7 linked regions of the Coturnix japonica genome follow. The protein of the gene in region 1 purifies or fractionates together with the protein of each later gene. This does not show direct contact. Links are inferred from orthologs where the notes say so. Each region holds a gene or a part of one and is shown in the gene's direction. Other genes may lie near its edges.

Region 1 (2,795 bases):
GTTGGAAAGGACCTTCAAGATCATCTAGTTCCAACCCCCTGCTATAGGCAGGGACACCTCCCTCTAGACCAGGCTGCTCACAGCCTGGCCTTGAATGCTTCTAGGAAGGGGGCATCCACAGCCTCTGTGGGCAGCTGTTCCAGTGTCTCACCACTCTCACAGTAAAGAATGTATCCATAATATCTAGTCTCAGTCTACCCTCTTCCAGTTTAAAGCAATTTCCCTTCATCTTATCACTCCATGCCCTTATAAGAAGTCCCTTCCCAGCTTTCTTTTAGTCCCCCCTCAGGTACTGGAAGGTCGCTATAAGGTCCCCCCAGAGCCTTCTCTTCTCTAGGCTGGATGGCCCCAGCTCTCTCAGTGTGTCCTTGTAGGGGAGGTGCTCCAGCCCTCTGATCATCTTTATGTTGCTCCTCTGGATCTGCTCCAACAGCTCCATGTCCTTGTGTTTGGGGCTCCAGAATGGACACAGCACTCCAGGTGGGGTATGAGAGCAGAGTAAGGGGGAGTCTGCTGGTCATGCTTCTCTTGGTGCAACTGAGGACACTGTTGGTCTTCTGGGCTGCAAGTGCACATTGCCAGCTCACGTTGAATCTTTCATCAATCAACACCCCCAAATCCTTTTCCCCAGGGTTGCTCTCAAGCCATCCTCCGCCCAACCTGTATCTGTAGGAGTAGAGATTAGAAAGAAAGGAGCAGAAATGACATACAGATGCACGCTGCAGCTTTGAAGTGGGAGGCAAAGAGGAGAGAGACTAAGAAGTGTCGTGGAGGGAGTTCCCTTGTAGGTTCGTGAGAAATACATGTTTGGAGAGCTTTGGAATAGATGAGGAGAAATAAATCTGAGAGACGTTGGAGGACGCTGGGGTTGGGCTGCTGGGGCACTGTGAGGCATTCCCACCTCCCAGATACATCTGTTTATGGCACTTGTTTTGTAGTAGGACTGTCTTCTCCCTTGCATTTGCTGCATTGTATTTGCTCTTTGAAAAAGGATAACCGAGGTGTTTCTACCTTGTTCAGACTGAACTTAAATCTGAATTCCTGTGCCTACCTTATTCTTTCTTGCTGTAATATTTTCATGTCTTTTTGCATAGTGTCTGAGAGTGACCGTTTTCATAACCGCTGGTGGTTTTGACTGTTAAGTCAGTTCATGTAGAGCTTTTCACCTTCAAAACACAGTTTGAATCTATACTGTTCTGAATTTACTTTTTCCTTTGATGAGAGATTAAGCCACCTACATAAATAAGCCTGTGGCAGAATAGGCTCTTACAGTGATAGAATGACTCCATCACAAGGTGTTTTTCAGCTGTCCAAAAGCCAGTCATGTTTTTAAGATTTGCTTGAATTTTACACTGTTGTTTGAGCTCCCTTGTTTAGATGGTGGACACACACAACTGATGGCTTGATTATGCTCCTTGTTTCCAGATGTGCTCGCTCCTCAGTATCCTTGGCAGTCAAGTGATATGTCAATGAACATGCTACCTCCTAATCATAGTAATGACTTCATGTTGGAGCCTCCGGGACACAACAAAGAGAATGAAGATGATGTAGAAGTGATGTCAACAGACTCCTCAAGCAGCAGCAGCGACTCAGACTAGGTACAGGAGGGACAGTATCCCTAGTAGACCTTTCCTGTGGTGAAGGTAGGTTGGATGCTGTTATTCAAAGTCCCTTTTATTTATGCTGGCAGCCCCATGCAGGGAGAAGATACAGCAAGCTCAAAGAGTGGCTAATTTCAAACCATGAACTTAAAATTTATATATCTTTTCCCATTAGATGTTCAACTAAAATGACTGGGAGCTTTCTGCTGGATGAGGGATGTCAGATTTCCAGTGCTGATGTAAATGTGTATGTTTGCAAGAGATGCGTGCGTTTGTATATATATTTACTATACATATTAGAGGACAACGTTCCTGGGACAAAAGGTGTAAGGGGAATCCCCTCCTATGTTTGCTAGTAACTTGACTCTTTTGAAGATGGCCTTTTCTATGGCACAGAAACAAGGCATAACATTTGTAATTTTAATACCTTTTTTGTTACTGCTGAAATGCACGTTGTTAATCACATAGTGTGTTCTGAGAACAAAACCATGGCAATAAGGTGTTTAAAAAATGTTTGTAATTACTGTAATATACAATAAACTCACCTTTGATGTAACTTTGCTGCGCTTTGCAAACATAAATCTTTAGGTTTATTGCGTGAATTCATTAGTCAGCACATTTCATCTCAGTGTGCGTTTGATTTCGGATTAAGTTTTAGAAGCTCGTGGTCCTTTTTTCCCTTTGCAAAGTGCAATGTTGTTATTAGAAGCAGCTGAGCAGTCAGCACCTGCAGGTCTGTTCTTTTCAGCTGAGCCTATTGGGTACATACAGCTGCAGAGCCTGAAGCAATGATGTACAGTGCCCAGTCACCAGACCCCACAGATATTTTGGTCAGGTATCCCAAGGTTGTGGATGCTTTGGAACATACTGCAGATTCAGCTCTTTTCAGTTCAGAAGGAGCTCACTTATTCTTTAGTCTCCGTCACCTATATTTTTTTTCAGTTCTTTGAACCTGTTTATTTGTTTGCTTCAGCAATTGCATTTTTACCTTCTTTCATCTTTCCAAAGTCATTTCCATTGGCTTTCTTTGTTCTCTTTTGCTTAGTGACTCATATGATGACAGCTACTTTTATTTTTCCAATTTGATCAGGTTACTGATGCAAACTGTTACTTATGTCAATTACAGGTTTCTGCCCTGCCTTACTGTTAAAGCTACCTGAACCACAGATCAAAGTTCTCTCAGCTTTTGCATAT
Region 2 (4,036 bases), on another chromosome or scaffold:
AACAAAATGCAGGTGTATTTTCAAACAACTTACACAGCAATACAGAAGCTGTTTAACATCACAGTCATATTACGACTTCATTACTGTTAGTGAGGCAAGCTGAACTCCTCTGGGCTTCCTGTTATTCAGTCTTCAGCCAGCATTACAATCAACACACAACACTGCAGCCCAAGGTTAAGTGCTAGATGGGATTCAGATCCCGTTCAACTTCCCGAAATAACTTTTCTGCCTGCAGGAGGGAAACAAATGGAAGAGCTTTGTCCAATTCTTTCATCTGGCGATTACATAAAAAATATTTTAACGTGATATTCTTATAGCAGCTCCAACTTCTTCAAACGACTTGATACTGCAGTGCTGGAACATTACATTCTATTTCCTCGAAACTCCTTTTATTCTACTTCTTTTCCCCCCTTCACTCCTAGAAAAACCAACAGTCGATGTCATGTAGTTTCTATTATTATTGTTTCAGGATGGGTACGCCTAAAAAATGTCTGGTCTTTGGAGTATTTGTCTCAGTTAAAAGCCAGCACAATATTGCTCAGAGGAGCAATTCCCCACCAGTAACCCAGCAACAGCAACTAGCAGCTGCTTATTACAGTTGTGTTCTGTAAGAAGTTAATTGCACAAATAAAGCAGCTCCAGAGAAATCCATGTTGCCAGCAACAAAGTTACTTTTTGTCAACTCTAGGTTATATTGTCATACACCGAAGTAAACCAGAAGCAGCAGCAGCAGCGCACTGTCCTACACCTACAACCTCCAGAGAAAACAGCACCATGGCTCAGGGCTGCAGGTTTGCCCTCGGTGTCCCATCCTGCTTCAGACCACAGGAGCCCTTCCTCCAAAATAAAAGCGTGTTTTTAAGGACAGCCAGAGTCCGTAACGAGCTCTGGGTGTGCACGAAGCTTTCCAGTCTCAGCAGCGGCATCTCTGAACACGTGCACTAGTGAAGGTTTCTGTAGTTGCCGCACCTCCGGCACGTCGCTACGTTTCTGACCAAGAAGGACGAAGCAAAAAAACAACCAAAAAGCAAAATGAGAACCCGCTGCACAGCGTGTCCGGGGAGACAAAACGTCACTGAGGTCCCTGATCATCGATCACGTAGGAGGCTCCTGCGATAAACACAGACTGAACCTTTAATTACCCACATTAACACACGCATAAATGTTGCCCCGTTTCCCTTCCGGCCGGAGCGCAGCACAACAACGGCACCGCCGTCAGGAAGCGGCCCCTGTTCAGCACGGCCACGAAAAGGAGCGGGACTAACGGCGCGAGGGGAGAAAACGAGAAGAGACAAAGGAAAAAAGACGCACAAAGCAGAGAAAGCAACAGGACAAAGCGACAACTGCGCCCCGAGCTGAACCGGCGGGGCCCGGACACGCGCTCCGCCCCGCCCCGCTCTTCCCCTGCCCCGTACCGGCTGCGCGGGCCGCTCCGGCCTGTCCGGGCAGCGCCGACCGGGTGTCGCGGGGCCGTCGGGCGGCGCGTCCGTGGCCTCCGCAACGTCCCCGGCCCGAACGCGGCGGCCACACCGAAGTTCCGCGTCCGCAGCCCCGCCCGCGCGGCCCCACGTCACCGAACCGCCCGGCCCTACAGTCCGCTCACCGCCCGGCCCTACAGTCCGCTCACCGCCCGTGGCCGCCGTCCCCCCCGCTGCAGCCCGTCACTTCCTGCGCGCTGCGCCGCACCCTGCAGCGCTTCCTGTGGCTCCGTGTATCCGAGCGGTGCCGGGATGGCGCAGGAGGCGCTGGGCGCGGCGGGGCTGCACTTCGACGAGCTCAACAAGCTGCGCGTCCTCGACCCCGACGTGGCGCAGCAAACGGCGCAGCTCCGCGAGGAGTGCAAGGCCTTCGTGGACAGTGAGTGCGGGGCGGGGCGGGGGGCGCCGCTTCACTCCGCGCAGCGCTGACAGCCACGAACGCGGGACCGTTTTTCTTTCAGAAATAGCGCAATTCCAGAGCACGGTGGGCGGCCTGATCGAGCTCATGGACCAGTTGGCCAGAGCTGTCGAGAGCGAGAAGATGAAGGTACGGTCCGTTGGGGCTGTCCTTGTAGTCACACCTCCTGGCAGGACGCAGCTCATGGTGGGCTCTGAGGACAGGGCTGTCCAACGATTCACGCAGTAAAAACCTCTGTAACTACCTCAGAAACGTGCACTAATACACGTCACCAAGCGCTCTTTATCTTCTCACTTTATTATGGGGTTGGAGATGAATTTTCAGCACAGCTGTGATTACTTTTCCCTTGTTTGTTCTGTGGGAGAAACTCCTGAGCCTCCTGTTGGTAGCAGCCACCAGGGGGTCAGTTTATTTCACACTGTTAGGAATATCCCAGGTTGGAAGGAAGCCTCAGATGCCTCAACCCGCCCAGCCCCTACAGGGACTGTGTTTGCTCCACAGCCCATCCAGCAGGACGATGCCCCCTTTGCTCTTAGCACGGCTGAAAGACTTTCATCGCGACCTGCTGGTAGTGAAAGGGGTTAAAACTCCTTGTACAGATCCATCACAAACGTCTGTTTTGACAGGCCATCGGTGCACGGAATCTGCTGAAGTCTATAGCAAAGCAAAGGGAAGCACAGGAACAGCAGCTGCGGGCTTTAATAGCTGAGAAAAAGATGCAGCTGGAAAGGTGAGCTTCCTATTAAGTGTTTTTGGGGCATGGACGTAATAGTTGGGAAAGAAAGCTGTGTAGATGTGAGAGAAACAGCCACGTACTGAGAAGGATCATTTCTAATGGCTTTGTGGCTATCCGGATAGAGGTGATGTGAGATCATACAACTGTGGAAATTAATAAAACAGTAAGAGTGGCAGGCAGGTGACTTCTAAAGGCTTTTTAGAACTGTCAAGTCTAATTCATGTGACTGTTGCCTTAAAAAGGACACACACGAAGCCCTGAGCTTCGCTCTCAGACTGGTGAGCACTGCACTAAAATATCAGCTGGTAACCTATTTTCTTTGTCTTTCAGATATCGAATAGAATATGAGAGTCTGTGTAAAATTGAAGCGGATCAGAATGAATTCATTGACCAATTTATTTTTCAGAAATAGAAGACTTTAAGATAAAGACCAGCTTGGAAACACGAGCATTCCAGACTCTTTGACTATTTCAGAAATATGCAATTTTTCACTGTGTGCAAATAAATAAGGATGGTTTGTGCAAATAAAAGTGTTTTTTAATGCAGTGTGAGTTACACTACAAGTGGCAATAAGGAGGGCTTTCTAACAGCTGTAAGACTGTTCTGTCCTTTGATTTTTATAAAGGTTTTATACAGTCAGTAGTTCAGATTCAATCTGTAGTTGAATTAATACTGCTGTTCCTCTGTTAATGTCTCTCTCCCTTTTTGAAATGTACAGCTCTTTCAATGAAATCAGGCAATAAACTTTTGTTTGTCACCTACTTGGACATACCAGAATTAGCTTCTTCTGCTTTGTTACTGGGGAGCTCGTAAGTTTGTGACTCCCTGGATCGTCATCATGAAGGACTTCCCTCATATAGCCATTTTAACACTCCTAGCAGCATAACGTGCAAAAGAGAGAAGCAGTGGTTGGTAACTCCTGCCTGGGAATTCCTAAACTGGTCAGAAAAATTGGTGATTAACAGAACGGGGCAGTTGCACACAAAGAGGAACAGAGAATTAAGATTAAACTGTGTTTGAAGTAACATTGCAGTGGAATACTGCAATTTAACCGTAGGACTTCAGACTGATGAGACAAACAACCCTCAGCGTGTAGTGGCACCAGGAACGCATACAGACCATAGATATGAGCATGGCATTTAAAAACTGAATGTCTGTGACCTAAAATCAAGGCTCTTGTTCAAACAGCAATAGATGCATTTTACACCTGTCTTTAGGCAACCACATAAGAAAACGCTGCCCTTTTCAAAGCTTGTGGGAGGTTTAAGTTACACACCAGTAACGTCCTGAAATAATAAAGCAGTGACTGAAGAAGCCTGCTAGAATTTTACACAAGTCTTCACTGCTCAGTGGCCCAGAATTTCACACAAGTCTTCACATTGTATTCTTACAGATCAAACAGGA
Region 3 (2,955 bases), on another chromosome or scaffold:
CCCCTCTCCCTGCACAGAGCATGGACTCCTCCGACCTGTCGGACGGCCCCATCACGCTGCAGGAGTACCTGGAGGTGAAGAAAGCCCTGGCTGCTTCTGAGGCCAAAGTGCAGCAGCTGATGAAGGTGAACAACAGCCTGAGCGATGAGCTGCGCCGGCTGCAGCGCGAGGTGTGTCCCGGACCCCCCTCCAGGCTCCCCATTTTCCCTTTCTCCCCATTCCATCCCCCCCCACTTACTGCTCCCTGCCCCGCTGCAGATCCACAAGCTGCAATCAGAGAACACACAGATCCGGCAGCAGGCGGTGCCCCCACACCCCAGCCCAGCCCCCAGCGAGCGCCCCGAACACGGGCACCCCCCCGGCACGGCCCCCCTGCACCGCCGTGACCGCCAGGCCTTCTCCATGTACGAGCCGGGCTCGGTGCTGAAACCCTTTGGGCAGCCGGTGGAGGAGCTGGTGACTCGGCTGCAGCCCTTTGGAGGCGGCGTGAGTACGGGGTGGGCTTTGGGGTGGGCTGCGTTGGGATGGGTTATTGTGGGGAGGGGTCTCGGGGTAGCTGCAGTGATGACAAGCTGGGGGTGGCGGGGCTTTACTCTTCCGTGTGTCGCAGGAGGTGGAGGACGAAGCTCTGTACTCCATGCACATCCCGGCCAGCGTGTACCGGGTAAGGGGGCCGCAGCGGGGGCGGCTCCTGCATGGCACGGGGGGGCTGTCGGCCTCCCGAGCTCCTGGGACGTCCCCCACCCCTGCAGCGCCGGGGAACCCACAGTGGGGCCGGCAGCCGCGGGACTTCCCTGCATGCAGGGTGGTGGTGTCCCCTGTGCTCGTCCTCCCCTGCACGTCACCGGGCTCGTCTCTGTGCCCCCCCCACTCAGCCCCTTTTTCCCCCCTCTCTTCCCCTTCCAGATGCGGAAAGGTCCGTCGGTCTCCTCCATGCCCTTTCCCCCGTCCTCCCCGCTGCTCTCCTGCCCACCCGATGGTGCCCGGCACATGGTGATGTACCGGGGGGGTGGGGTCAGAGTGGGGTAGGGGAACCTTATTCCTGTATGGATATGGGGCCGGGCAGGGCATAACACTGTGGCTCTGCCCTACAGAGCAAACTGGACCGGCACGGCAGCGGCACCGACAGCGACTATGATAACACACAGACGGGCGAGATCCTGCTGGGGTGAGTGATGGGGATGGGGGCCGCTGGGGGACACGGAGCTGGCATTGACCCCTGTGTCCCCACAGTGTGGAGGGGAAGCGCTTCGTGGAGCTGAGCAAGGACGAGGACTTCCCACATGAGCTGGACCCGCTGGACGGGGAGCTGGACCCTGGGCTGCCCAGCACGGAGGACGTGATCCTGAAAACCGAGCAGGTCACCAAGAACATCCAGGAGCTGCTGAGGGCTGCGCAGGAGTCCAAGCACGACAGGTAGGGCTGCGGTGTGAGCGTGGGGCCGGGTGATGCTGTGCCCCACATCGCTCAGCCCTCTGTGTGCCTGCAGCTTCGTGCCGTGCTCGGAGAAGATCCACTCAGCGGTGACGGAGATGGCATCGCTCTTCCCCAAGGTAGGGGTTGGGGGTGGCCCCGCCGGGCTCCCATTGCCCTATATCCATGTCCTAACGCTTTCCCCGTGCAGAAACCGGCGCTGGAGACGGTGCGGAGCTCCCTGCGGCTGCTGAACGCCAGCGCGTACCGGCTGCAGAGCGAGTGCCGCAAAACCGTGCCGCCGGAGCCGGGCGCAGCCGTGGACTATCAGCTGCTGACACAGCAGGTCATCCAGTGCGCATACGACATCGCCAAGGCGGCCAAGCAGCTGGTCACCATCACCACCCGCGAGAAGAAGCAGTGAGTCCAACACGGGCTCTGCTCTGCGTGTCCTCCCTCTGGTTTGGGCTGAGCGCGGTGGCTGTGGCAGCAGAGCTGGTGCTCGGCCCTGGGGAGCTGCCTTGTACAGCAGCAGCCCAAGCCTGCTCCTACCTTACCCAGTACACAACGTGTGCCAGCCAAATGGGGTGGCCACGTTCTCCTTCCCCCCTCCCCGCGGCCGCGCTCCCCCAGGGCCGCCCGCAGCATTACACTGGACAGGGGATGCCTGGAGGCCTTCCCCCCCTTTTCTCCCCTCCTGGGCGTCCTGCCCCGCGCCGCGCTCCCTCCTGTAAGATGTGTCCTTGTACATTTGTATCAATAAAGATGTGAGCGTTGCACGGCGCCCGGCTCCATCCCATCGTGTCCCCTCGGCCCGGACCTGCTGGCTGTGGCAGCCTGGGGGAGGATGGTGATGGGGCAGAGGAAGGCTCAGGGCACAAGGGGCTGCGCTGCACTTGGAGCACAGCGTGGGGACGGCTGGCTGTGCTGAGAGCAGCAGAACGTGCTGCTTAATGAATGTCAAGCTGGGGGCTGGGCCTGCTGCAATCCCTGCTGGGCTGTGGCCTCCATTAGGAAACATCACCCCACGCTCCCCCCTCTATAGCATTGCAGCCCCCCCCCGGCACCCTGCAGCGCCTTCTGTAATGTGGGGCGGGGGCTTCAGAGGGCGGGTATAACAGGGATGGAGCACCTCCATCCTGCCCCCATTTCCCAATCCCCATTGTAACCTGCTGCCACAGTGATGTGTCCCCCCCACCCCCCTCCATGGACACAGGCCGACACTCCGTGTACTAAAATTACTTTATTACAGTTGATTTTTTTTCTTTTTAACATTTCCTTTGCTATGATACAAAGGATACTTACAAACAAAATATTACATATGACCTTATTTTATTTTTTTTTTTCCATTTTTATTATTATTATTTTTTTTTTCCTTTTTCTCTTATTTTCTGACAACTTGGTAACAGCTTTAAATGCACAATCTATACAATTAATACAGGTTATATATGAGCTATAATGTATGCTGAACCAGAAGAATACCAGAATACTGACAATATACTGTACATTGAGCCTTACCAGATCGCGCTCGTGGCATTTCCT
Region 4 (4,359 bases), on another chromosome or scaffold:
CTTCTTTTTGTATTTCAAAAGAATTTCAGAAACTTTTCAAAGCATCATAATTACACAGCTCACTTACTGATATCATTTAACTCCTACTGTAGTTTCTCATACTGAAGAAAAAAATTAACAACAGGTAACAGGGAGCAAACAGCAGGATATGAAGAAACAGTGCTCAGGGAGGTGGTGGAACCATTGTCCCTGGGGATATTTAAAAATGTGGAGATAATAGTATCATAGAATAACTCAGGTTGGAAAAGGCCTCAAAGATCACCAAGTCCAACCGCAGCCTAACCATAGCACCCTACCTCCAACAACCCTCTGCTAAATTGTATATCTGAGCATCGCACCCTAACAGGCTCTTAAACACATCCAGGGACGGTGACTCAATCACCTCCCTGGGGCGATGTGGCACAGAGGGGCACAGCTCAGCGGGCATGGCGGGGCTGGGCTGACAGTTGGACTAGACTGTTTCAGAGGTCTTTTCCAACTATAATGATTCTATGATTTTATGATTTGCAGCTAGGTGTATGACCAACAACAGGACTTCAGAAAAACTAAATAAAAGCCCTGTAGCACCTGGGTGAGAACAGCCACGTACAGCAGTTGTTGGTACAGAGCTGTGCCACCCTGCGCGCAGGCACCAAGCTGTGATGCCGTCTCCTCACGGCCACAGCTCCAAGCGGAGCAGAGATCACAGCAGAACGCCTCCCTAGACTGAGACCCTCCTGCTGAGTTCGACATTCGGCAGATGTCTATCTCAGCAAATAACATCACTCTGACTTCACCAAATGCTGCACTCGCGACCAGCTCCCACAAGGCCAAGACCAATTACGCCCCACGAGCCCCAGCCCGGGTTTCGTCAGCGCGCAGCCCTTTCGCCGCAGGCCCACGAGAGCGCCCGGCCGCCCACGGCCAGCGCTCATCCCGCAGAGCCACGCACTGCGCGGCGCTCACACGGGCACAGCCGGGCGCTCTCCCTCACCGCACCCGCGTCTCATTCGCGCCCAGCTCCCACCCGCGCGACAGCCCCCGCGAGTCACACCCCCCCACCTTCTCCAGCGGCGCCGGACTCTGCACTGCCAGCGACCGCGCCAGCGACAGCACCGTATTGAAGTAGAAGCCCCGCGCGGTTCCCACGCCGCTCCCTCGGCCCGTGCCCGCCGAAGGAGCTGCGGCGCCGCCAGTGGTGCCGCCGGTGGTCGCGGCGGCGGTCGCGGCGGCTGCCGCTGCTGCCGTAGCTGCCGCCGCTGCCGCCGCCGCAACCGTCGCGGCCGCCATTGCGTGAGAGACGTCAAGGAGCGGCTGGAGACCTCTCGCGAGAGCGCCCGTCTCGCGACATTGTGGATCGCCAATCGCGCCGAGAAGATGGCGGCGCCCTGCCCGGAGCTCCCCGCCCTGCCCGTCCGCCGCAGAACCGCCCTCGCTGAGCGGAGCGCTCGGCCCGCCCCGGGGAAGCGGTAGTGCCGCCCAGTGCGTGCGGGCGGAAGAGCGAAGGCTCCGTGAGCGGGGTGTGGGGGTTCGCCATGTCGGTCGCGTCGAGGAGCTACAACCCCTTCGATGAGGACGAAGAGGAGACGCGGGGCGGCGGAGAGGTGCGCGGCGCGGAGCGGCAGCGCTCCCTGCAGCAGGAGGTGCTGCGCCGCACGGCCGCCACCGCCGACAGCACCGCGCGCTCCCTCTCGCTGCTCTACGAGTCCGAGCGCATCGGCGTGGCCACCTCCGAGGTGAGTCTGGGCCCCTGCGGCACCGACCCGGCGGCGGGGCCGCCCCTGTTCCCGGCCCGGGCTGTTCCCTCCCGCCGCCCCGCGCCGTTGTGGGTTTTGGTGCTGATGTTTTCCCGTCCTCTGGGCGCTGTCGTTGCTTCTCGGCGATCGGCGTCTCAGAGGCAGCACGCCCCTCCGTGTCACGGTTTGCTGCTGGTGAAGGCTGGTTTTTAAAGCGTGAAATCCCAGTTAGATTCCTCTTACACTGAGAGCAGAACTCAGCCGTGTCAGTTTCTTACTGGGTTTTATTAACAGTGCATATATACTTAGTTTTCAGCAGCTCTCTGATGAAATAAGAAGTCTGCGTGCTTTGTTGTCGATTACGCTCTTGGTTCCACCTCTGTTAATCATTTCCTTAATTCTCACGTGCTTGTTTTGGAGTGCAGTCTATACTCAGACATCGCTAACGAGGGCCTTGCTGTGATGTCATCCGGTAATTGGGAATTTGCCTGAGTGCTGCACCGTGACTGCCGGGGTGGCTCCAGGAGCAGTGCTGGGGGCAGCTTAGCGAGCTACAAATGGCTGAAATGAGGGACCAAGAATTGGGCCTTAGCTTAATGTTAATGGTAATTCTGGAGTTCTGTAGATAAACGCAAGTCCTTGGTTTTGCATTGGCATTAGCTGAGGGCACGTCTTCTGTCAGAATGAATCTTTGGATTGGTTTGGCGTAATACCACTGAAATACAAAATAACACAGCTGTGCATACCAGGATTTATAACTTCTGCACCGTTAGCATTACCTTAAAACTAATCCTGCAGGAAGAAAAAAATTCTAGCTCTATTTACTTTCTTTAACTAGTCTGTTTATAAATCATCTGGAACAACCTAGCAATATGAAAATAGCATCCCTTGTTAATTTCCAGTTTCAGAACTAGACGTAGTTTTTATTTCCCTGTTGTAAACCTTTGCATTTTCACTACATTGTCCGTTAGGTGCAATATTTGTTCCATCAAGAAGCAATACAAACTGACAGAAGGCCAGCATGGGAAGTGCCTGAATCCCTTTTGTAGTACATACCGAGAAACTGGTTGTGCAAAAATTTTGTAGCTGGCCAATGCTGTACCTTACTGCCAGCTTTTCACTGAAATGCCCCAGAACAACAGGAGTGAGTGAAAAGGCTGCATGACTTTAGGAGTAGCCTGCATAGTTCATAGAGGCTTTTTTTTTTTTTTTTTTTTTAAAGCACGTTTATTGAAATGCTTGATGTTTCAGCTTACCTTGGCTTTACTAGCTTCATTTTATCTGTCAATATCCATTAGGAGCTCGTACGTCAAGGAGAGGCACTGAAGCGTACAGAACTAATGGTTGATAAAATGGACCAGGACCTGAAGACTAGTCAAAGGCACATAAATAGCATTAAGAGTGTTTTTGGAGGCCTGGTTAACTACTTTAAAGCCAAGCCACCTGAGAACAAACCAGAACAGAATGGGATGCCTGAATATTATGGCAACAGTAGGTAAGTAAAATGAAAATTTTATCAGGGCATGATGCTGTTTTCTTGGGTTCAAGCAGGGGAATTACCTGTCATCAGAAATCTTCTGAGAGAATCTGGATCTAGAGCAGTTCTTCTAGAGTAAGCCTTGAAGTGGGACGCAGTGCTGTCATATACTCCTCATTCTGTTACTAGGGTCTTGGCTGTCTACAATGTGCTCTTTGATCCCTCTCCAATTATCTGATTTTAAGAAAGAGAGTTTCTTCTGTTTCCTCACAGCATCACTAGTTTCATTCATGTGTTTTTCTCCTGAGCTCCTCAGTTAGACCATTTGCTTTTTTTTTTTCTTCCCCCATAACATCTCTGAACTGTCACCAGAAAAATCAGAATTAACAAATAATGTATTGAATCTGTAAACTCCTGAGATGGTGTCTGGTTCCCTTTTTGCTTTAACTCTGAAAAAAAAAAAAATCTTATATTTCTAACGGTAACAATAACTTAAGATTTTTATGAATTTATTCACAAGTTATTTTTTAGAGTCCCCTGGATCATCATGCTTTATTCAATTGTAGTAGGAAATCATGATTTTGCAGCGTTGGCATGCTTCTTCTTAAATACTATGCATCTTTTTCAACTTTATTTATTAAAAGTTATAAAAAGAAATGAATTACTATGTCTTATAGTACATCTGTGTCTTCAGCTGAGAAATTTATGTAAAACATGGTAGTGCTGCATGGATTGATTTTCCTGCTTCCCTTTTTTATTTTCAATTAGAGGAAAGGAATAGGTTGCCTTCAAGACTGCAGATGTGGTTTTGTTCTTGATATCAAAGCTTACGCTATTTTCAGCACTAGAGCAACTGATTCTGCTTTCACTGAAGATGTGATAATAATTATTTGTAAAGGGACATGTTGGATCATGTCTAGGAAGTTCTCTTTTGTTGGATAATTTTAATGTCTGTTGCTTTTTAACTGATTTAGAATGAAACCTTTGATCTGTAAGAATGCTTTATTCTTTCTATTACCAGATTAAAAGAAGCAATGATGTCTAGCAAAGAACAAGACTCAAAATACCAGGAAAGTCATCCAAATTTAAGGCGCCTAGATAATTCAGGTTTGTTTATTTTATACTAAATGCCTGTCGTCAAAGTGGAGGGAACTTGCTCAGTGGTGA
Region 5 (3,886 bases), on another chromosome or scaffold:
ATGTGTACACTGGGACAGTCCACCAGCACGTACACATGGGGCTACGTGTGCATGCTGTTCTTCAAAGTGACGTTTGTCATTTCACTCTCAGCGAATTGTTCACAACTGTGCTGGACATGCTGGGCGTCCTCATCAATGGGACGCTCGCCTCCGACTTGTCCAATGCTTCCCAAGGAGGACCTGAGGAAAACAAAAGGGCTTACATGAATTTAGTGAAGAAGTTAAAAGTAAGTGTTGTTTCTCATCATTTGCAGCATTTCTTTTGATTCTTGTCATTTCTGGTGCCTTGGAAAGAGAAAAGGGAATAAAGTGGCATTAATAGTAAGAAAGAAAAGGAGGAAATAAAAAATTAGGAATGTGAAGGCAGGGAGACAAACTACTAAGATATTTCTTATAGTTAACTTTACATTCAGAACCCTGGAAGAGACTTAATTGCTTCTATTTGTTCATGCTTGAGACACTGCCTTTGCATTTACTTTGTGTTATGTATGTTGTATGACCTACTCCAACAAGGTAACTTGATTTCTTAGAACCAAGCTAAACAGGGCTGCAAAAACACTTGTTTAAATTTAGTAAAAGCACAGGGAAATGATTCATCCCCAAACTGGGCATTTTCTAATAGTGAGAGTAGGGCAATGTTTCTCTTCCTTATTTCCACCTTGCTGTTTGACTGAGCACTTTGTTTATCCCTTAGAAGGAGCTGGGAGACAAGCGGTCAGACAGCATTGACAAGGTTCGCCAGCTGCTCCCTTTGCCAAAGCAGACCTGTGATATTATCACCTGTGAGCCAATGGGATCCTTGATCGACACCAAGGGCAACAAAATTGCAGGGTTTGACTCCATTGATAAAAAACAGGCAAGAGTAAATGTTTACCTTCGTCTCTGTTTTTTCGTGATGTTTTGATGCAAGGGAAATTCAAGCAAACATGTACAGCCTGTATAATACACACACTTAAATCCAGTATGTGCAGAGTATTGTACTTCTGCTGTAATACAGCTTGCTGATGCATTTGGTCATTACTAAAGCTTCAGCCTCAGCAGCACAGTCTGTGTTAACCAAGCAGTGGTGCAGAAGTGTGCAGTGCTGGGCCTGCAGGACACCGCTGTTCAGATCAGTTGCAAATGACTGACTGGGTTTTGGTAGCAAATGTAATTCTGTTTCCAATACATGTGCAGGGTGTTTGTTGGCATGATCCATATGAAGGTTCTTGGGCAGTGTGTGAAGCCAGGAGCGTGTTTGGAGAGGGGCTTTCAGATTCCAGCATCGTGGTGTGCTGTGGCAGTACCACCTTCCTGCGTCAGCGCTGACGGTGCTGCTGTCCTCTCCTGACAACTTGCCCCAGCTGGCAGATGGGTCAGAGCTCTTCCTCTGGGTGCCTTTGGGATGGATGCAGCTCTATGCCACCTATACAAGCTCAGGACTTTCTGAGACAGAAATCACATTCTGATTTGTCTACAATCCTGTCACCAGAGTCTGTACAAACAAGAACTGAATGATGTGCAGAGCACACGGTTGATTTGTGACTCATGAAATGAGTGCTGACAGAAGCTTGCTTGATTTTGCAATCCAGCATCTTGAGTGACCAAAAAGGAATATGATGTTTTCTTGGAGCCGAAGAGCAGAAGCTCTCACAACAGTATTTGCTTTTTCAGCAGAATCCTGCATGTGAGAGCTTGATTGACCTGGAAACCTTTTGTCCTGTCACATGCTGGGAGGACAATGCAGGGGGTGCTCCTGCTTACGAAACATGGAGGAAAGAGAAGGAAGATACAAACTGTGCTGATAGGGATTTTTTGCCAGCATTGGTTTTTGTTGTTGTTGTTGTTGTTTTTTAAATTGTTTATTTATGTAAGGAAGAAAGCTAAAATCTGTAATTCTGCAGTACCTCTTTTCCTCCTAAGATAGGTGGAACTTGAGGTTTTTAGCATGGCTGCAAGCAAATGTTATTATAAAAATCTAACAGCTTTTATCCAGTGGCAGCTTTAGGTGGAGGATGAAGTTCCATCTGTGTGCACTTGGTACATTCTGGGGGGTGTAAAGGACCCTCACTGGATTTTGTGACTCAAATCATGATGTACAAAAGCAAGTAGTTCGCTGTGCTGTTCAGCTTCTCTAAAGTGCTGACTTCACTTTTATTTTGATACAGGGTCTTCAGGTTTCAACAAAACAGAAGGTGTCCCCTTGGGACTTATTTGAAGGTCACAAAAATCCTGCTCCTCTCTCCTGGGCATGGTTTGGTACAGTTCGTGTTGACAGGAAGGTGATCAAATATGAAGAGCAGCAGCATCTGCTCCTGTATCACGCACACCCCAAACCCAAGCCACGGAGCTACTACCTCGAGCCCTTGCCTCTGCCTCCAGAGGAGGAGGAGGAAGAGCCCACCACCCCTGTCTCTCAGGAACCAGAAAGGAAGCCGGGGGAGCTCTCCGATCAGGGAAAACACACCACAGATGATGAGAAGAAGACAAAGGGCAGGAAGAGGAAGTCAAAGTCAAGCTCTAAGGCTGATGTAAGTAGCTGGTGCCTCCGTGCAGAGCTGGGAACATCCTGTCACCATGCTGTCTCTGCTGCATTCATAGGTTGTACCCTACCTGGAGGGGTTCCATTAGAGGTAGTGAATGGAAATGGTCTGCAGGAGGGTGGATTCCTATCAAGTACAATCAATGTAGAGGAGCGTAGCACACATAGGACCTTCTGTGCTATGTACAAGGTGCTAGGCTGGATCTTAGCTCACTGAATGTTGCTCAGGTTCTATGTATGCTTTCTCGTTTGGTGTAAAATTACAGCAATTATGTTCTTTTTCACCTTCTGAAATTCCTCTGTAACTTGGACATTGTTTTCTGGCCTTTTTGATGTTTCAGTTAAGTTCCTCCCATTATTTCCTTTCAGATACAGTACAATACAGTGCAGTACAGATACGCCGTGCTTGTGCTGTGCCTTATGGTAGCCTGCTGAAGGTGCTTGCTAATAAGATAGAAATGGATGGTGTCTCTGTGAAGTTGTTAGTGTTAATTACCTGTGGGCAGCCTGAGACTTAATCTGTTTTTTACATCATTGCAAACGACAATGGGAACTGTCTCTATCCTTTAATAATTTAGTAGGAAAACTGGCATTATTTATGAGTTAGTAAGGTATGAATGTCAGTAACATTCGCTTTTACTGTATATTTTAAGGAATATCCACAGAACAACTTATACAGAGTGCCTCCCAATTACTCGCCCATTCCTTCACAAATGATGCAGCATCCTCAGTCTGCCTTGTGGGGCTACACCATCATGGGGCATCCGCAGCAGCCTGGCTTCTTCATGCAGAACCAGCCCCTCCCTCCAGGTATGTCTGAGCTTTGAGTTCATCTCTGTGTTTTTATTGCTGGGTGGTAGAATTGGACTTAGTGCAGCCGGGTTTTGTTCCAGACTCTGAGGCAGGCTGTGATACCAACGTTTTATTCCTGCAGTTAGCCGCTGTTCAGAACAGCTCTCCATTAGCAGTCGTAGGTCGTCCATGCTAAGCTATTGAACTCTTTTGGTAGAGAAGCAACAATGACCTGCTGATGGTTTGTAATGCTGATGGATTTTTCTTCTAAGAAAGCTGTAGAAGTTCAGTGAGGAGTTAAATAAGGGAGAGACAATTAGAAGGAACAAATGACCTTGGGGCTATTTCATTTCTAATTTGACCCAGACCAAGAACCGTGGTGGCTCATTTAACATCTACTAGATGGAATAAATAATCAGCGGGCTGACTTTCTTTTTCAGCATTTGTGATGAGCTGAACTTTTGTACATTTGTTTTGTTTCTTCCAGGCAGGGTGCAGACAATTTAATCAACGTATTTTAGAGGTTCTCGTGTGTGTTTAGCAGATGTTATGAAAAACAGGCGTTGTGTCCTC
Region 6 (4,673 bases), on another chromosome or scaffold:
TGCAGCATTTCCATTGGGACGTTCCATCACGTTTTACACAGACAATACTCACCCACTAAGTAACCTTGCTTTTTAAGGCGATTCAGGTGCTTTTTTTCCTCATCGCTTAGCTGATCTTCTGTTTTTTGTGCCTCTTCTTTCAGCCTCTCCTGCCTCCTGAATATCCTGTCGCACGTAGGGTTGATAATTGGAAATTTCAACAAGTTCAGTGTTGTTCCTGGAAGAAGAAGGAGGAGAAAGCAAAAAGGGTGACACATCCAGACCTCTGGGATACCTGGATATCCAGACTCATACTTAAGCTCTGAGGTACATGAATAAAAAAGTACTTGGAGCCATCTAACAAAGCTGGAGGTGGAACTAAGCATCAACACCTGCTCTGCTTAAGTCTCCCTCCTAGGCAGAGTGGCTGGAGTGTGTTACCATCCACTTGGTACCTGCTCTCTTGTTGAAAGGCTTCTCAGACACTCTCACTAATTAAAATCATGCTGATGCTGGTACAGTCGTGGGTCATCTGAGCTGATTTTAGGGAGGTCGATCAGACACTTTAGCAGCAAAGCCTTGTGACCTTAGCACCCGAGTGCGATATGGGGATGCTGGTAGTGCCCCTCACCTGGCCAGGATGAGACGGTGGCCCTACTAACCACGTCGGGAGCTCGTGACTTGCAGTAGTCGGATTGCAGCAGGGCATTGAAGAGCGTCGACTTGCCCGAGTTGGTGGCCCCCAGCAGGTAGACATCACCGGCGCACTTCCAGGAGCGCTGCAGCCGGCTGACCAGCCCCTCCATCCCGAAGCCCGTTTTGGCACTCACCAGCCGTACATCCACTAATTGCTCCCGGGCGATGCCGGCCTGCAGACAGGCGGCCGTCACTCTCTGCCGCAGCCGCCCCAGGTGCCCGGGGGAGTCGGCCGGCAGCAGATCCACCTTGTTGCCCACCACCAGCAGCCCCGCTGCGGGCACGTCGGGGCTGAGCAGCGCGGGCAGCTGCGGTAACACGGGGTCGGGCAGCTCCAACACATCCAGCGTGTAGAGCAGCAGCGGGCCCCTGCCGTGCCGCGGCGGGCTGCGGAGCGCGTCGCTCAGCACGGCGCGGTGCTGCTCGGCCGGCAGCTCCAGCCGCACTAAGCGGCCGCCGTGCGCCATCACCCAGCACCGCTGGCACACGGCATCGCGCAGCCCGGCCGCTCCGCCCGGCCCCGAGCACAGGCTGCGGTACTTGTCGGCCGGCACGAAGCCCGGCGCCGCGGTATCGCGGCACTGCAGCTCGGCCCCGCAGCCCGAGCAGCCCACTCCGCTCGGCGGCACGGACGGGTCGGCCTCCCCCAGCAGCCGCTCCCTGCCCGCCCGCCTCCGCGCGGCAGCTCTGCCCGTCGGCGAAGCGGCGGGTGGTGCCGGTGGTGGTGGCAGTGGTGTTGGTGGTGATGGTGGCTCTGGCTCCGGCTCATACTCGAGGAATACGAAGCGCTCCTCCTCGCCGCCCAACGCCTTCCATCGCCTCGCCGCCCATGGCCGTGCTGGCCGCAGCCGGCCCAGCAGCGCCCGGCCCAGCTGCAGCATGACGGGCAGCGTGAGCAGCCCGCAGGAAGGGGCAGGGCGAGGCTCACCCCGCGCATGTGCGCTGCTCCCCGTTCCCGCCGCCCTCCTTCCTGTGGCCGCCGCTCGGCGGGCGCTCGGTGCCGGATTCTCGGCTTCTTTCTCTCCCGTCCCGGCCGGTCGCGGCTCCCTCCTCGCTGCCGCCATGTACGACGCGGATGAAGGTGAGTGAGGCCGCGCCGGCCGCCTCCCGCCGGGCCGCTCCCCCGCTTCTATGGGCGGCCCCGTAGTGGCGGCCTTGGCCTGACCCGCTCCCTCTTCCCCTGTAGATATGCAATATGATGAGGACGACGACGAGATCACCCCCGACCTGTGGCAGGAGGCGTGCTGGATCGTCATCAGGTGATGCTCTCGTTGTGCTGCTGCTGGTGGGACGGGTGCACGGAGGCCTCGGGCTTTGCGACTAGGCCGGGCCGCGTGGTTCGGCTTTTAGGGAGCGGAGCTGCGCTCAGCTGGGCTGTGGGGCCCTTGTTTGGTTTGGCAGGGCTTACAGACATAGGGCAGCTGGTTGATGAACCTCGTGAGGTCCAGCAAAAACAAGGTACAAGGTCTTGCACCTGGGTTGTGGCAACACCCGCTACCAGTACCAGCTGGGAGCAGGTGGATGGCAAGATGGACTTGAGACAGCAGTGTGCCTTGGCAGCCGAGAAAGCCAGCTGTACATAAGTACTATTACAGTAAGAGCGATGAGGCACCAAAACAAGTTGCCTAGGGAAGTGGTGGAAGTCCTGTCCCTGAAGTCATTCAAGGGGCTCTGAGCACCATAGGTGTCCTTGTTTCTTTTAGGAGAGTTGGACTGTCTGACCTTTAAGGGTCCCTTCCAACTCAAACGTTTATGTGTTTCTACTGCACTGGCACAGGCTGCTCAGGGAGGTGGTGTAGTCAGTCACTGGAGATGTGGTGCTGAGGGACACGATTGGTGGGGATGGGTAGGAGGTTGGACTAGTTTTCCCAGCAGAACACCAACAGCCAGGCCCTGTGGCTCCTCATGCTGTTAAGAAGCGCACATTGTAAGCAAAAAGTGTTTTTCTTTTGAACAGGAGCCTTTCCCTATGTGCAGTGGGGATAGAGAACAGCAAAGCCAAGGTAGCGTGAGATCTCCAGGTGCCTTCAGGGCTGTGTGGCACACAGCCCATGTCTTCAGGTCATCCTGTTAACAATGAGAGTGCAGGGCTTGGAATGTTGGCTTTGGTTTCATGACTGGGTTGTGGTGTTGGGTTATGTCTGGGCCACACAAAAGCTAGAGGAATTTAAGATAGAGTGCGTACACGGCTCAGCCAGGAGGTGGCAGCAGGTCTGTCACTTTGCAGTCTGCCTTCAAACACCGATGAGAGTTGAGTTTAACATTTCTGAGCATCTGTGTACACAACCCGTGTCTCAGGCAAAAAGTATTTTCTACTGTATTTCAGAGCTTTTCAAGATTTTGTAATGAATTTACCTTAAGCTTGCTGACAAAATACATCACTTAAATTAAGTTATCTTGTTAATGTGTTTTGTTTTGTTTTTCCTTTAGCTCCTATTTTGATGAAAAAGGTTTAGTCAGGCAACAGCTGGATTCTTTTGATGAGTTTATTCAGATGTCTGTGCAGAGAATTGTTGAAGATGCTCCACCGATTGATTTACAGGCAGAAGCCCAGCATGCCACAGGAGAAGTGGAAGAACCGGTAAGTGGAGGCAAAGGGGTTTCATAAGCAAAATGAGTAGGTGGTACCTTGAGTAGGTGGGTTTCATTCGGTCTGTGTCTGGAGAGACTGAAGTACATCTGAGTTGGGACACAGCCGGGAGGATGGAAGTGTAAACTGCTTGGATTCTATAAGGCAACTGTGCAACTGCTGAGGATGGGAGCAGGCCTCATCGACAGGGATTTAGTGGAGCAAGCAAGCTAGCCATAATAAAACCGTGCTTTGCTGGGATTTTTGGTTCTTGGTAGCTTTACTATGGCAGAAAAGGCTTAAGACTAAAAAGGCTTTTGTTAGGTCTGGGTTTTCTAGTAGTGCCCTTACTTATCATCTTCCATTGGTACCATGTTCCACATTATCTAAGGTCTTTGTGAGGACTTATGAAGTGTGTGAGGGTACAGTACATGTTCTGCATTGGTTGTGGTGCTTCTGCTGTTCACTGTGGTGTCTCCCATATGGTGCGGTCCTGTGTATGTCAACAGCGATGATCCAGTTACTCAAGTTTCTGCTTCCCTTTTGAGCTTTAAGGGAACTTTAGGAATTCTGAGAGTCAAATCTGTTATGTTTTGACTGTTCCTTTCCATTTTTTGTGCGTGCATGCATTGTTTAGAGAGAGTAACAGATTTCTTTTAGTTCCTGAGTTTGTCATAGGGCTCATTCTTGGGTAGATGAACACTCATAAATGTTTGTAATTCCTCTTAATATTTCCTCTGTTGCTCTGTGTATATTATATCTATATTCCCTAGCTGTGCAGTTCTGCAGATGCTGTATGAGCTGTATGCAGTTAAGTGTGGATCTCCAGCATATATGTGTTTAACTTTGCCCAAGACATAGTATTTGACTTGAGGGTAGGTTTCTTGCTCTTATTTATCCAATTGAAGTTTTAAGAGTATGGCCTAGATATGAGAAAAAGAAAACTTGGTTTTTCCTTCAGTTTTACTTGTTGGCAATCTCTTGTCTAATGGGAGAATGCAGGATTTAATTAAGGAGGCTGAGTATGATTGGACTAATCCGAGGTGACTTGTTTCTCCCTCCTTCCATGTTCAGCTTTGCATTTTGAGGGCAGCTAGGACAGTATGTTTTATAGCACACTAAAGTGTTTTTACAGCCGTGCTGAGAGATGGGAATTACAGTAAATGTGTGTTCTACGTGCTTACATGAGAACCTGTGAAAGTTATTTCACGCAGCTACTGCTGCAAATGAAGGAGAAAGGTGTTTCTTTGGGTGAGAATTGAGAGCTAGCTGTGCTAGAGCTTTGGTGTTGTACTACAGTAGTCCTAATGGCTCGGATACAGTTAGATAACTGCATGGAGCTCAAGTTTTGCTTTAGTTATAGATATTCACAGCTGGCTTCTAGATGGTGGGGTGGCAGCACTACTGTTCTTTGTTTGGGTTAGTTTCT
Region 7 (4,470 bases), about 25 Mb from region 1:
ACTCAGGACCTCTTCGATCATTTGTAGCCGCGTTGATTCCTAGCCATCCTGTTCTCATTCTTCATTTCTTTCCTGGTCTTCATTAAGTGTGAATAAAACACTTCCAAAACGCCAATCAAAATAGATTTCTTTCTGCAGAGGGAGCCCCATGTGACTGTTGTCCTTTTCCATTCTTCCTTCCCCAGCTCTACCCTTCATCTGTCACACGTGATGTAGACCAGGCGAGGACTGTGCTTCTATATTCATCTCCGCCTCAAGCAGAATGCTCATTATTGGTTTCTGGGAGAATAAAGAACGCAACGGATCAATGCCATTAACCCAAGCTGCACTTAGAAGACAAAGCTGGTGCAGCTGTTGCACCGATGGTCTCAGGAGTACAGAAGCAGGGCTACACTTGGGGCTGTGGCAGACCTGCCAGAGCTCTCTGAGGGCACTTCCATCCAAAGAACACAGCCGGGGTAAAAGTGACAAATGCTGCAAGGATATAACACTGTGAGTTGCCTTCATTGCCCTACAAAATGAAGAAGACATTAACAGAACTTTCAACAGTGATCTGACCCAGTGACAGCATTTCTGCTTTGGCACGGTTCTAACAGCACCTGCCGTGAGGTAGTGTGGCACTGAGGGACATAGTCAGTGGGCACCAGGGGGTGGGGGTGGGTTGAGGTTGGACTCGTGGTCTTTTCCAACTTCTATGATTCTATTGTAGCTGGAGAAGGTTTGAGTGCTTAGGAGGAGAGCACCCGCTATCCCCCGAGTATCTCTGGCTGGCTGGCTGTAAGCTGTGGTGCCCCTTCCCTGGAGGGGCTCAAAGCCAGGTTGGATGGAACCCTGGGCAGCTGAGCACAGGGCTTGGAATGAATCAGCTTGGAATGAAGTGATATTTAAGGACTCTTCCAACCTGAGCCATCCTCCGATTCCACAATCTGTGTGTTTGATGTGAAGTATTGCTTTGTGGGGATGAGACGTTTTCTCAGGAGGATGTAAACTTCCATAGGGCAAACCTCCTGTGAGAGTTACCTGCTGCATGGGAGCTCTGGTTTCTGGTCAGACCAATGTTCAACCAGTCTCCTCTCCACTGAAATCCCAGCCCTGGTTTGGCAAAGGCAGAAATGTGCATCTATCTGGAGTGCCTCCTCACTGCTCGAGAGGCTGACAGACGAGGCAGTAACAGCCCTAAGAGCCCCATCCAACCTGGCCTTGGATCCCTCCGGAGATGGGGCGCACACATCCTCTGTGGGCAACCCGTTCCAGCGCCTCACCGCGCTCACACCAACGCATCGATCCCGATCACCCTCCCGCCTCATCCCGCTGTCCCCGTGCAGCACAGGCCCCGCCGCACGCAGCCTGCGGAGCCGGGCGGCTCCCCCAGCGCTCCGCACCCGCGGAACCTCCGCGTCGCTCGTGCCGCCGGGGGGCAGCCACCGCCCGGTCCGGCTCCGCGGGTGCGGGAGGGGGGGGGGCTCCGCGGGCGCGCAAGCCCCGTGCCGTCACGGGGCGGGGAGGAGGCGGCTCTGCGGCTGCATGTGTGTGTGTGTGTGTGTGTGTATATGTGTGAGTGTGTGTGTGTGTGGCGGGGCGTCGTCATCCGCATTCACATGGGGGAGGCGGGGGCCTCGGCCTGAAACCCCCGCCCGGGGAGGGGAGACAGCGATCCCATAAAGCCGCCCCCCCCTCACCCCCCTCCCCTCCAACCCAGCTCCGCGCGGCCATGACTTCGGCCGAGCAGACCGTTACGTGGCTGATCGCCCTGGGCGTGCTGGAGTCGCCCAAGAAGAGCATCGCCGACCCCGAGGGCTTCCTGCAGTCCTCCCTGAAGGACGGCGTGGTGCTGTGCCGCCTGCTCGAGCGCCTGCTGCCGGGATCCATCGAGAAAGTGAGTCGGGGGCAGCGGGCTTTGTCAGGCCGGGGGCGGCGGCATGGCGCGGGGGGCACGGCGGCGGCGGCCTCCGCCTTGGGGACCCCGGAGATTCGGTGCCGAGTTCCTCCCGAGGAGGATGGAAGCGGCGGGAGGGAACAAAAAGCGCTCCCTGAGCCCCGCGTCCGCCCCTAACGTTCAATTGAATTTCCTTGTAATGCGGGCTGTTGTCCTGCTTGCTTGCTTTATTTTGGCTTTCTGGGGGCCTCCGTGTGCCGGCACACCTCATGGAACCAACTTTCCCCATCTTGCTGGTGACTGTTGAAGGTCACCTGGCAGGTGGCTGTGGTCACCTGCCGTGTGTGTGTCTTTCTTGAGCCTCAGAGTTGGAAACCTTTGAGCTCTGTAGGGTGCTGGGTTTGGAGCAGGGTCCTTAGTTCCCCACAGGTTGTGGCTGTCACCGCTTTGTGCTGTTGTCCACCCTGCTCTGTTTGGTGACTTGGTGCTGTCCTCATGGACTGCAAGCAAATGGGGGATGTGGAAATGACCCCGGAGCTCACAGGTGTTATGGAAATGACACAGGAGTATTGAGTAACAACGGGGACAGCTGGCTGGGACAGCCATGGCCTGGAGCAGGCTGCACAGAGAGAGTGTGGAGTCTCCTTCTCTTGAATGACTCAGAACCCACCTGAATGTCCTGTGTGACCTCCCCTAGGGAACCTGCTTTAGCAGGGGTTGGACTTGATGATCTTCAGAGGTCCCTCCTGACCCCTGTGGTTCTGTTATTCTATGTGTGAGATGCAGCTGGAAATAATGCGTGTCCATTCCTTGGCACCAGTCACACAGTGGGGCGCAGACCCTCCTCAGGAATAGTTTGTTGGTGCATCCTTCCATCTGCATGACAGCCGTGGTGGTTTCCCAGCCTGTCTTGCTGTGCCTCCCAACCTCTGGTCTCCAGAGCCCCATGGAGCTGGGTGCTGAGCATTACAGCAACGCAGGGCTGTCCATGCACTTCTGGCAAGCCTGGGAGGATGATGGGGTCCTGAGATGGAGTAGGGAACAGGTTCTGCTGCAGGCGCACTGAAATAGAGATGAGTGATGGAAATAAGTAGCAGGAAAGCGTTTCCCAACTTCACGTGCTTCTGTGTACGGTGCAGCTAGGAGTGGCTTTGATGGGAAGGAGAGGCGTGCTCTTGTTATTGTGTCAAAGGAGGCAATGCTTGTGATACTAGGGTCCCTTCCCAATCCCAAACCTAAGGGGAGGCTGTGCAGGAGCACAGCTTCCCTCGGGAGCTGACAGTGGGGTGCTTTTATCCAATCTGCCATACAGGGATAAGCCAAATAGTGCAGGGTTGTGCAGAGGGTGGTGATGGGCTGGGATGGCTGGCAGAGGGGAGAAGGTCTTTCAGCCTGCCACCTACCCCAGCCAGCCTGTGTCCAGCCCTCTGCTAGAGCTCTGTGTATTTACTGATTTCTTTGTTTTGTGAGCAGACCTATATGTAGTTCTTGGCCTTTCTCATTGTGCTTTCTAGCCCAAAGGTGCCTTTGAAAGTCTCACAGACTTGTGTCCCAGTCCAACTCTGGGCTGGTCGGTGTCCTTCCTTGTAGATTACACTGTGTTCGTGTGCTGTATTTGTGCTGGGTAACTCCTTGTCAGGAAGCACTGGCTCCATTTGTTTACAGAACAGTTGCCTGTCTTGAGCAGCAGACAGGTATTCAATTCATCCGATTCCAGGAGCTGTGAATGAGAGCGAGTTGGAAGGCAGCATTACTATGCATTGCATCTCTTGCTTCTGAAGAGTGGCCACGAGGAGGTAAAATCAGGCAGGATTGTGCAGAGCAATGGTCCTGGTGAACAGTTTTGTAACATGGGAAAGGGGCAGAAGGCAGAGCAGTTGCCTGCAACCAACAATGAATTTAGAAGTGTCTGCAACTGTGTTCAGCTTTTCCTGTTGACTCTGGTCCGCTATCAAGGTGAGCAGAGCTAAGGATACTTGTTTTAGAGTTGTTTATTTAACTATGCACATACAGTAGAGTAATGCAGTGCTGATGATGCCAGTAGGTGCTCCTGAATCCTCATGAGTAATTTTGTATTTGCTTTCCTTCTTCAATTTCCTATGCATCCATCCATTTTCATATACGACATGCACAAGATCAGGATTAGCATTTTTAAGTATTCTAGAAAGTTTCAGAAGATGTCATAGAATCATCATAGAATGGTCAGTTTTAAGCAGTAATGGTCAGTAGTTCAGCAGTAGCCGAGAAGATACACCAAATCTCTTGAAATTAACCTGAACGTCAGTACTTTATTGCTGAACTGACCTTTCAAAACTGGGAATAAACATACACTGGTATACAACTAGAATAAATGGTAGGGAACTGTAACTGGGGGGTTGGACTTGATCTCTGGAGGTCCCTTCCAACCCCTGTAATTCTGTGATTCTATAACAGGGCAAAAGCAAAGACTGCCACCTCCCCCTGCCCAAACCCTCAACTCCTTAAAACTCAGCCGTGCATTACATTGCACCAGTCTGTAGATCACAGAATCACAGAATGACCCGGGTTGGAAGGGACCTCAAGGATCTTGTAGTTCCAACCCCCCTGCCTGGCAG

The links.
Region 2: the proteins of MED4 (region 1) and IFT20 purify together in Homo sapiens (affinity purification with mass spectrometry; 3 studies listed by BioGRID and IntAct, with this or other methods). This does not show direct contact. The link is inferred for Coturnix japonica from reciprocal best matches to the Homo sapiens genes MED4 and IFT20.
Region 3: the proteins of MED4 (region 1) and GIT1 purify together in Homo sapiens (affinity purification with mass spectrometry; 3 studies listed by BioGRID and IntAct, with this or other methods). This does not show direct contact. The link is inferred for Coturnix japonica from reciprocal best matches to the Homo sapiens genes MED4 and GIT1.
Region 4: the proteins of MED4 (region 1) and SNAP29 purify together in Homo sapiens (affinity purification with mass spectrometry; 3 studies listed by BioGRID and IntAct, with this or other methods). This does not show direct contact. The link is inferred for Coturnix japonica from reciprocal best matches to the Homo sapiens genes MED4 and SNAP29.
Region 5: the proteins of MED4 (region 1) and MED12L purify together in Homo sapiens (affinity purification with mass spectrometry; 3 studies listed by BioGRID and IntAct, with this or other methods). This does not show direct contact. The link is inferred for Coturnix japonica from reciprocal best matches to the Homo sapiens genes MED4 and MED12L.
Region 6: the proteins of MED4 (region 1) and POLR2B purify together in Homo sapiens (affinity purification with mass spectrometry; 3 studies listed by BioGRID and IntAct, with this or other methods). This does not show direct contact. The link is inferred for Coturnix japonica from reciprocal best matches to the Homo sapiens genes MED4 and POLR2B.
Region 7: the proteins of MED4 (region 1) and ARHGEF7 purify together in Homo sapiens (affinity purification with mass spectrometry; 3 studies listed by BioGRID and IntAct, with this or other methods). This does not show direct contact. The link is inferred for Coturnix japonica from reciprocal best matches to the Homo sapiens genes MED4 and ARHGEF7.

The regions. Positions count from the first base shown.
Region 1 is NC_029516.1:150,964,901-150,967,695, reverse strand, and holds the end of MED4 (mediator of RNA polymerase II transcription subunit 4), read left to right. Parts: intron 1-1,425; coding exon 1,426-1,598; 3' UTR 1,599-1,643; exon of another isoform or gene 1,644-1,776; 3' UTR 1,777-2,157; downstream 2,158-2,795. UniProt on the Homo sapiens protein: Component of the Mediator complex, a coactivator involved in the regulated transcription of nearly all RNA polymerase II-dependent genes.
Region 2 is NC_029534.1:8,043,128-8,047,163, reverse strand, and holds IFT20 (intraflagellar transport protein 20 homolog), read left to right. Parts: upstream 1-1,699; 5' UTR 1,700-1,730; coding exon 1,731-1,857; intron 1,858-1,939; coding exon 1,940-2,025; intron 2,026-2,522; coding exon 2,523-2,626; intron 2,627-2,962; coding exon 2,963-3,044; coding exon of another isoform or gene 3,045-3,054; 3' UTR 3,055-3,409; downstream 3,410-4,036. UniProt on the Homo sapiens protein: Part of intraflagellar transport (IFT) particles involved in ciliary process assembly. May play a role in the trafficking of ciliary membrane proteins from the Golgi complex to the cilium.
Region 3 is NC_029534.1:4,837,871-4,840,825, reverse strand, and holds the end of GIT1 (ARF GTPase-activating protein GIT1), read left to right. Parts: intron 1-17; coding exon 18-170; intron 171-258; coding exon 259-486; intron 487-610; coding exon 611-664; intron 665-906; coding exon 907-993; intron 994-1,094; coding exon 1,095-1,168; intron 1,169-1,233; coding exon 1,234-1,416; intron 1,417-1,489; coding exon 1,490-1,553; intron 1,554-1,624; coding exon 1,625-1,837; 3' UTR 1,838-2,196; downstream 2,197-2,955. UniProt on the Homo sapiens protein: GTPase-activating protein for ADP ribosylation factor family members, including ARF1.
Region 4 is NC_029530.1:57,960-62,318, reverse strand, and holds the start of SNAP29 (synaptosomal-associated protein 29), read left to right. Parts: upstream 1-1,361; 5' UTR 1,362-1,514; coding exon 1,515-1,715; intron 1,716-3,013; coding exon 3,014-3,210; intron 3,211-4,213; coding exon 4,214-4,299; intron 4,300-4,359. UniProt on the Homo sapiens protein: SNAREs, soluble N-ethylmaleimide-sensitive factor-attachment protein receptors, are essential proteins for fusion of cellular membranes.
Region 5 is NC_029524.1:20,889,585-20,893,470, reverse strand, and holds part of MED12L (mediator of RNA polymerase II transcription subunit 12-like protein), read left to right. Parts: intron 1-91; coding exon 92-227; intron 228-694; coding exon 695-856; intron 857-2,147; coding exon 2,148-2,510; intron 2,511-3,174; coding exon 3,175-3,331; intron 3,332-3,886. UniProt on the Homo sapiens protein: May be a component of the Mediator complex, a coactivator involved in the regulated transcription of nearly all RNA polymerase II-dependent genes.
Region 6 is NC_029519.1:43,876,769-43,881,441, reverse strand, and holds the start of POLR2B (DNA-directed RNA polymerase II subunit RPB2), read left to right. Parts: upstream 1-1,737; coding exon 1,738-1,756; intron 1,757-1,861; coding exon 1,862-1,934; intron 1,935-3,105; coding exon 3,106-3,256; intron 3,257-4,673. Other genes in the region: NOA1 (nitric oxide-associated protein 1), read right to left, coding at 53-217, 611-1,739. UniProt on the Homo sapiens protein: Catalytic core component of RNA polymerase II (Pol II), a DNA-dependent RNA polymerase which synthesizes mRNA precursors and many functional non-coding RNAs using the four ribonucleoside triphosphates as substrates.
Region 7 is NC_029516.1:125,506,782-125,511,251, forward strand, and holds the start of ARHGEF7 (rho guanine nucleotide exchange factor 7), read left to right. Parts: upstream 1-1,543; 5' UTR 1,544-1,711; coding exon 1,712-1,876; intron 1,877-4,470. UniProt on the Homo sapiens protein: Acts as a RAC1 guanine nucleotide exchange factor (GEF) and can induce membrane ruffling. Functions in cell migration, attachment and cell spreading. Promotes targeting of RAC1 to focal adhesions. May function as a positive regulator of apoptosis.